Linked DNA regions of Daphnia pulex. The protein of the gene in region 2 interacts with the protein of the main gene of each other region in a pairwise test. Links are inferred from orthologs where the notes say so. Each region holds a gene or a part of one and is shown on either strand. Other genes may lie near its edges.

Region 1 (4,155 bases), on a different chromosome or scaffold from region 2:
CCGAGCATGCTTTCCTGATCCTCTTGACCTCTGGGTATCGACTTATCAGAAGCTTCGCATCGACGACGAAATTGAGGAAGAAAAGGTAAACTAAAAGTACAATTTCTTGTACACAATTATATAATCTATTTGTAAACGTCGTATCTACCTATTCATTCGCATGGGATAGATTTCGCTGAAGAAAAATCGCCTACTTAAACGCCAGGAGTCTCGGAACATGAAGCGCCACAAACACCTAACAACGGAGTCATCGCAGATTTTCAGAAAACCACCAACATCAGACCCAGTGTTTTTGAATCGTAGATATAACAGACTTGTTCCTAAAGTGCTACCCAGTGTTCCAAAACTTGATAATGCCACATTGGAGGAGGCATTGGACCAACTCTGCCAACAAATTCAAGAGCAATTTAATTTGAATACCATACAGGTAAAATAAAGAACCAACCAATTCATTGTGTTTATTCAACTGAAACTCCGTTGCTATCTTTTGTCTGACAATCAAATAAAACATGATAACTATGAAAACTTTATCCCCTGTCATACCGGGATATAAAATATTAGGCTAGTTGCACGCAACATGATGGGAATTAATTGTATAGCGTAATTTTCTATTATCCTAACACATTTCTAAATAAACAGCATAAACTAAATTACAATAATAAACAGCTTAAGAGCTGTAACGAACAAACGTCTTAAGAGGTAGCCAAGTGTATTGTTTTTCCTCGATCCGCGCAATCAAAAGTCTTGTAATTGAAAACAAAATAGGAGAAAAAGGGAACGAAACAAATACCAACGCCAAGTTATTTCATTCAGATTAGAAAGACATCCGACCAAATAGGAAAGGTAGTAAATGTGGACATAATCCCCTTGGGCTTTACCATGCAGAGGATATAAGATAGAACTTGGCACTCATCCACATTTCACTTCGATTGCTACGTTTCCTCTACCATCAATCCAGATACTTTCGAGACTCGGAAGTGTTCTCATCGCAGGGTTAAAAGGTATATCAATATACTGGCAACATCGATGTCATCACCTCACGAGATAATCTTAACTAATCGGATGTTTTTTTTCTATTGCTAACGTTTGGAGCATCAAAGAAATACACGGCTACGACAATTTTCAAATGTATGACAAAACCACATTGAAGATCAGACGGCGGATTTTTTCCCCTTCTCTTTACATATACAAATAAGCGGATGATAACATTACGCGCGCTCGTACATGCCCGTGTGCATAGCGCGTGGGGAATATGTAAAGTTAGGAGCGAGGAAATTTTGCGCAATTAACCGTGGTGAATTGCGATTAGAAAAAAAAAACAAAAAAAACGAATTTATTAAAAAATAAGCTTTAGTTTATGCGCCTGTTGAATCTTATGACAAATCTGTAAATAGAAGAAAAAATTCAGTTAGGATAGAAACAATTTAGAAAGAATAAAAGTATATCTTACAAGATGGTGCCGAATTGGCCTCGAAACGCTTCTGTAGCTGGTCCTGAGTAAACTTAACAAATGCGTCGTATTGCTCGGCGAGTTTAAGTGTCAATACTCGATCATACTCCTCGCGAATTTCTGTTTCGCGCTCTTTTAACATTCTTTCACAAATGAGGCTCACCTGTAAAACAACAAGGGAATGTTACAAAATCTCAACTACAAAACACTTGTTTCTTCATCTCTTGAAAATATGTTTGAGGAATTGGAGGACAGAATGCCGTACATGACACATCCTGTTACTATGATACTCTATTTTTAATTTATGGCATGTGCTGGAGGAGGCCAAGCTAGACAACAGCAGAACGCTGAGTCTAGCAAAGACGCATGATACTGGAAACATCAAGCTCAAAGAAAACCAGCACTACCAACATGTAACACTAGAGAATCACAAACTGTTCCTACCTGCTTAAACGTGAACAAAGGTTTCTCTTTAGTTGAGCAGCTTTGACCAAAATTATTGGAGGAAGCCAGGGCCATCAATGGCGAAGGTGATCGAGGGCATGAGGCAGGAGATGCTGGACTGGTAGGGCTCTCACACATCAAACTGTCTTGATGCTGGCTGCTCATGTGCTGAGATTGATTTTGACTGAAATTAAGCTGTTTACGACGTTGAAAGCGTTTAACTTCCTCACGAACATTCGCCAAGATTTGCTCTAAAGTAGAATAACGTTAGTTAGAAATCATTCTGGTAAGACTTGGTTATGAAATCTCACATACCTGGTGTAAGCTTCGAAGAGACATCGCCAAAAGGAGAAGGTTCATGGCACTTTGTTGGTGGAGTTGTTGGAGGCATGCAAATTGGCATACATCTCCTTCGTTTCGGTGTACGACCACCGGGACTGTGCACAGGATCAAATTCCAAACTACGCTTCAAAGTAACACAAGCCATTTTGATTCAACGACTTTCTTTCTTAGGCAAGTTGCTATGCTATGCTTGAAAAGCAACAGAAAATAGTCAGCTGAATTACACAGGATGCGTTAAACGAATGGCTATCAAAAGATGCTAGTTCACAACAGATGCAATTGGAAATCCAATGAACACAAATTCGTCGTAATATATATGATAGACTGATGGATGAAATGGGATAATTCTTCGAAGAAATTTACCCAGCTTCGTCCATTAAGACAACTGCAGCTCTCTTGGTTTTCTATTGGTTACAAAAGTAGCTTTAGCCCTAGGGAGAGTGGTGAACAGCATTGCCAGTTTTATGTAGAGCTTCAATCCCCTAAGGGCAATTCCAGCCACGTCGACGGTCGACATTCGACAACCGAAGCCGATAAAAATTCATTTTTCCAGTTCATTTTATTATTCAGATGACCAAGATCGCAAGTTCACTTCTAAATTTACAAATTAGAACAAGTAAGTAAAATTCTAATGACAATTAATTTTCAGTAGAATATTTGTTGTGAGAAAAAACGTTTGAAGTCCGCGTCCGTAAAAACATAATTTTTGTTTTCTTGTAGGTGCTGTTTTGATAAAAAAGAGAAAATTATACCTGGAATCGAGCTAATAATTAGTTGTGTGATTTATGGCAATTAATTCAAGTGTTGCTATTTTTATTTGACATGTGTTAAAAAAGTGGCGTCGATGTAAACTGTTTGACATGCCAAAAGATCCAGCAGACCGGCATGTCATGTGACAAGTGGTCACCCTTTTTTAGTTAATTTAGTTAAATTCTATCGGTCATGGGGGTTCTTAATGTGCTCTATGTGATTCTTCATTTTATTATCACATATATTCACAACATTCATGTGGCGTTTAGTGAACTCATTGATCGTATCAAACCAGTTGTTAAGGATCGAACTTACCTCTGGCCAGCAGACTGCCATGTTTTGCTGAATGCCACGACTGTGAAATTAGGTGCAAATATAAAAGATGAACGTCTTCTCCTTCAAACTATTGGAAGTGACCTGAAACTACTTCAAAAACTTCCCATTCATGTTGCTTGCTTGTTTACTGAGAAGGATGTAAACATTGATAGAATAATAACTATTGTTGAGTGGTTTGTTAGTATGGGTGTCTATTGCATCAGTCTCTATGATCATGAAGGTATTTATTTATTACCTGTTTAATTAGTACCTTATTTTTCTAGCAAATTTGATTGATTCATAACTGTTAAAATTTTAGGTTGTCTGACTAGCTGTCATGATGAAATCAAAATCAAATTGAAAGGTGTTGCTGCCAATTTTCGCAATGGATTGAAATCCAAATCTGTTGCTGTTCATAAAGGCTTTGTAACAAAAGAATTCTACAATTTGGGTAATTGGATAGTATAGTAGTGAAATTCATTTTTCTAATTATGTTTTTTCTTTAAAGATTCTATCAATGTTTTCATCATGAATCAAAATGATGGCAAACCTATGTTTGCCCAAGTTACAAGGCAAATAGTGGGTGAATTAAATTATTGTCAAATTGATCAGGGTGTAGTGGAAAACACCATGAATCAATTCTACCCCAAAGACCCAGAGTTGATGTTACAGTTTGGCAGCTTACTGTCTAACACTACCCTAGGGTACTCCCCATGGCATCTTAGACTTACTCAGATGATGTAAGAAAAATATTGATAATTTTACTATCATTAGAATTTTATTTACCTTTTATCTTTACAGGCGTGTACCCAATCACATGAGAATACGCGTTGACCATTTAGTTTCAACCATGC
Region 2 (4,478 bases):
TACAACAATTTCTTCATCGAAGGAATATTGAACCGATCCCATGACCCCAATACTTATCGATTACTCAACAGTCCCTTGATAGTTTATAGTTTATTTGTTTTGAATGGGTCGGGCGTTCGAGCACAGTAGAAAAACCAGACTGATATTAATGCATCAATTACTACGAGTTTAGTAAAAATGTGTTCACCCATGGCATCATATGACTATTCTAAAATTATCAGATAGATCAGATGAGCCCTGCACTGCCTAAAATTTCCTTCTTAAATTTAAGCGAATTTAAGTTAAGGAAAAAGCGCTACCTAGATTTGGGACACACGGTAAAAATTGAAAAGCATAAACACAAAAACAAACAAACAAAAAAATTTAAAAAAAATAAAAATCGAGAGGTCTGAATCTCTTTACTTGCGTGGGTGGCAAACAATAGTAATGATGAAGTATTATTTTAAGACACCATGTATTTAGACCCAAATTAGGATTCACGATACTCGAAGAAAGTTAAAAGTTTCCTTGTTATTTTACCAGTCTGCAAATGCACGATAAGTAACTCGGGATTTTTCTTTTAATCTGCTGTCACTTGGTCACAGTTGGCTTACATAAACGATGTCCAACCAAAAGTTGTTTTCCTTAGTAGTAACATTCTAATTGTTACGAATGCCTAATGCCTGTTCCAATTCGGCACGCTTTTGTTGAACTTTGCTGTAAAAATATCGGCAAACGGCTTCTTGGGTCCAGCTTTGCTCGTAAAACTCTCCACGTCGCTCCTCTTCGGGATTTCCTACGATGTCAGTCATAGTCTGAAAACAAAAAACAAAACAAAAACACATCGTTTAAATTTATCCAACACATTTTTGTAAATTTTTTTATTTAGCTTTTTACCTTCAAATCCCTTGTTTGAGATAAGAGCCATTTGTTTATGAATTGCTGCGGATCTCGGGCAAATCCAAGGAAAAATTCTCGACTGATCTTCAGTTGATTAATGCTTTCAACCGTTTCGTGGATCTTGTTGTCTAAGCTCTACATCCACAAATTAAAAATTAGATATATCTTAACATGCCAAAGTAATTGACAGGAAGAAAAAAAAAACCTGAATTTCTTGCTGGCTTGCAGTAGAAAGCAAAAAATTATTCATCTGGGCTTTCAATGTATCATCAACTTCTACATCAATGTCATAGCAGGCAGTTTTTTTCTGATCTGCACTCTCCACACTGCTGTTGAAAGAAAAAAGTTATAAAATTAATATAAAATGGAAAATGGTCTCTTCTTTAATTTCTAAGTACCTTATCAAATGGTTGATAACAATTGGATCAGGGGGATGTAAGAGAGGATTCAATCTTTGTGGAATTTCAGCAAATTTCATTCTAGGACATCCAAATATTTGTTCCATATATTTGTCACAACGAATGAATTCTCTTTCTTGGTGATCCTAAGGTAGTAAGGAAGTAGAAAAAAAATTAGATTATTCTTGACACATGGCTTGTAACAGCTATGAATAATACCTGAAGTTTGTGAGTTTTAATGTACTGCCACAATGCAGAGATTACCATGGGTCTTGTTTGAGTGTGAATGCCAAGAAGACGAGCCAAACGCGAGTCGAGACGAAATTGCAGCGGTTGATAGTCGAGCAAAAGTAAGATGGTACACCGTACATTTCGATCTCCTGGTCGTTTTACTTGAAACCCATCCGTTTCTTGAGTAGTAGACGTTCGATGCCATTCCACAAGGTGGTTATCAGGCCCATACAAGTCTTTATCAAGCTCAATGACGAGAGATTTGAAAAACGAAGAAAACTTCCGTTTGACTTTATTGGGATCTGATTTGGCAGCATCATCCAGAAGTCGTCCTTCTACTCTCAGTTCCCAAGAAGCAACCCCGCTTCCTCCGCCAACATCTTCAGTATTATCCATTTCTCTAGCAGGGTAGAATGTGTTTGAGATGAAAATACGCAATTTTCGTTTTTGTTTCATGGGTCTTTTCAAAGCTTCCTGAAACGAAAGTATTAAAAGTATTACTGACACGTGTAAAAGAAATCTTTACTTCAACTTACTTGAATATCGAGACGTTTTCTCATAATAGTAGCATCCAATTTTCTTTCAAATGCCAATAAATCCATGTAAGCTTGAGATTCAGGAACCAAATCTCGAACTTTCTGTGGAAGAATCTTGTCTGCAAGCTTTTTCTTTTTCTTTGCACTGTTAGGGCCATATTCACTACATATAAACCATTAATACTTGGATGTTAAGGACACAAAGAAATAATCTGATTTCTTACAGTTTTCCTGTTTGATTAGGGGCTCTCATGTCACCAGGTCTCTTCCCTGGTCCCAAAGCTTGGGGGCTCATTCCGGGACCACCAGGCCTTACAGGCTGTCCACTATAGGAATTTGGAGGTGTTGGATTCCCAATCATGTTTGGTCTTTGACCCATCATTGTAGGACTTGCTGAAGAAGTAGAGTTTGGAGGGTTTTGAATTTGATTGAATGCCGGGCGCTATGATAAAATGAAAGTTGAATGACATCAAGGTTTGGTACTGTAAAATTGAAGACAACAGAAACTATACTTACAGGGTAATTTGGAGAGTTGAACCGCATAGAACTCCCCGGAGAAGGAAAGGGAGGTCTTCCTGTAGCTGCGTTCGTATTTTGCATTTTATAAAACCGTCAAAACGGCGATCGACACAATACACACCAAAAATTAAGATATACTTTTTCTTCGATTATTTACTTATTTAATTCTTAGTGTTCTTTTGCTTTTTTACGGATGAGATGAACGGTCGAACCTGCCGTTTGAAGCTTTGATTCGCCATCTGTTGACCGCGTCTATAAACCTCCCTCAACACCACGTAGCGGCCAAAAAGCATACAATTCAAGGTTTTTTTGTTTCTATAAAATGTACAAAAATTCAGCTTGGAATCTCTTGGAATGTTCAGAGGGTGCGGGTTGCGCGAACGAACTTGATATTATTTATTTTCCATTCCCATTATTCATTAATTTTCAGACCTAATTTCTTATTTTACGGTAGTGCACTCAGATAATATTCGATTATTTGCAAAAATACAAAATAGTAAGTAATTTTTCAATACTTGGACCAATTAAAAATCTAAGACTTAAAAGTTAGGACCAAAAGCAATCGTGGCAGTTAACAAAAACATTTTTATCGTCACAAAATATATTGCAACAGAGATAGATAGCTTGAACCGTCTTGACACTACACCCGTGGCCCCGTGCTACATCTTTCGCCTTGTCTTTCGCGTTAGTAAATTGAACCTAATTTTTACATAACACTTCAAATTTATATTGCGTATTGATACTGAACAAAAATGAAATCACCGTTTCGTGTATCCTCAAATGAACATCTTATAAGTAAATTTAACATTCTCTGAAACACGTGTTTATAATTTATATAATAAGTCAGCAGAAACCGCAAAATTAGTTGCAATAAAAAACAATACAGCAAGTTTGTATTATAATTCTGATCGATTTTTCGCTGAAGACAAGACAAGAGCATTCATTCTTTTTTAACATTTCATGGTTGAGTCATTGAGGGCAAACCGGTGATTCGGGGATCTACCATTCCATTAGTAGTTTCCAAATTTTTTAGAAGTTGCGCCATCCACTGTTTAGTTGACTTATCATCTTTAAGACATGTTGAGAAAGTGCTATCACGCAACTGATCAGGTAGGCATTGTCGCAACGCTTCACGAGCCCTAGAAAATATAGTCGAATTTTATATCAATACGAAAATTCCTTTTTGGTTTTTGCAAGTCCCTTACCTTGGATTGTCAGAAAGACGAAGATAACATCGGACAACGTGCTTCAAAAGACGAGCTGACTGTTCTTTGGCCAATGATAAAACCATTTTACCAAGTATCATTGCAACATGAGAAAAGCGCTCATAAGTTTGACAAATGTAAGCCAGACCAGTTTCATCCAAGAGAATTTTTTGAAGTATGAAAGTTGCAACAGTCTTGGACAGTTCAGATCCAGTTTCCATTATCCTCAAACACAATGGAATTATCTCTGTTGTAAGAAGAAAGTTGATAACCTCCTGTTCATCAGTTTTAACTAGAGCACCAATGACTCCCAAACTGGTCAAACGAAGATATTCAAATGGCCGTGTCTTGCTCACAGTGTGCAAAAAAGGGTAGAGGAATAATGGGATGTGAGCTTGCAGAAAAGCAGATCTGGTTTCTTGGTGTGAAGCAACACATTGCAGAAGAGCAAGAGCATTGCAAACTCTGTTGGACTGTTGAGCAGTAAGAGTAGGTGGACTTACTGCTGGATAAATGCTTACAATATCTTGCAATAGAGCTGCTATAGTTCCAAATGAATGCCACAGCATAGGAGCCAAATCAGGAACAACTTCTCTCTTTTTACTGCATGGAAGAAATGAAAAATTAATAAAAAGCTAGTGGAAGACATCATGTCTCTAATGTTTGAAACAATCGACAAACATTTGAAAATGGAACCTTATCCCTAACAA

Evidence for each region.
Region 1: the proteins of brahma-associated protein of 60 kDa-like (region 2) and akirin-2-like interact in binary tests that used the Drosophila melanogaster proteins (3 or more experiments, as listed by UniProt). The link is inferred for Daphnia pulex from reciprocal best matches to the Drosophila melanogaster genes Bap60 and akirin.

Annotation. Positions count from the first base shown.
Region 1 is NC_060027.1:5,353,200-5,357,354, forward strand, and holds akirin-2-like, read right to left. Parts: upstream 2,687-4,155; 5' UTR 2,382-2,686; coding exon 2,210-2,381; intron 2,146-2,209; coding exon 1,895-2,145; intron 1,614-1,894; coding exon 1,451-1,613; intron 1,385-1,450; coding exon 1,374-1,384; 3' UTR 693-1,373; downstream 1-692. Other genes in the region: uncharacterized protein LOC124207045, read left to right, coding at 1-85, 170-436; dehydrodolichyl diphosphate synthase complex subunit nus1-like, read left to right, coding at 3,179-3,542, 3,621-3,752, 3,810-4,041, 4,103-4,155. UniProt on the Drosophila melanogaster protein: Molecular adapter that acts as a bridge between a variety of multiprotein complexes, and which is required for embryonic development and for normal innate immune response.
Region 2 is NC_060018.1:7,203,553-7,208,030, reverse strand, and holds brahma-associated protein of 60 kDa-like, read right to left. Parts: upstream 2,824-4,478; 5' UTR 2,645-2,823; coding exon 2,561-2,644; intron 2,487-2,560; coding exon 2,269-2,486; intron 2,208-2,268; coding exon 2,045-2,207; intron 1,983-2,044; coding exon 1,497-1,982; intron 1,424-1,496; coding exon 1,278-1,423; intron 1,209-1,277; coding exon 1,085-1,208; intron 1,015-1,084; coding exon 877-1,014; intron 795-876; coding exon 639-794; 3' UTR 438-638; downstream 1-437. Other genes in the region: CCR4-NOT transcription complex subunit 9-like, read right to left, coding at 3,522-3,702, 3,769-4,371. UniProt on the Drosophila melanogaster protein: Involved in the recruitment and site-specific anchoring of the Brahma complex at specific promoter sites.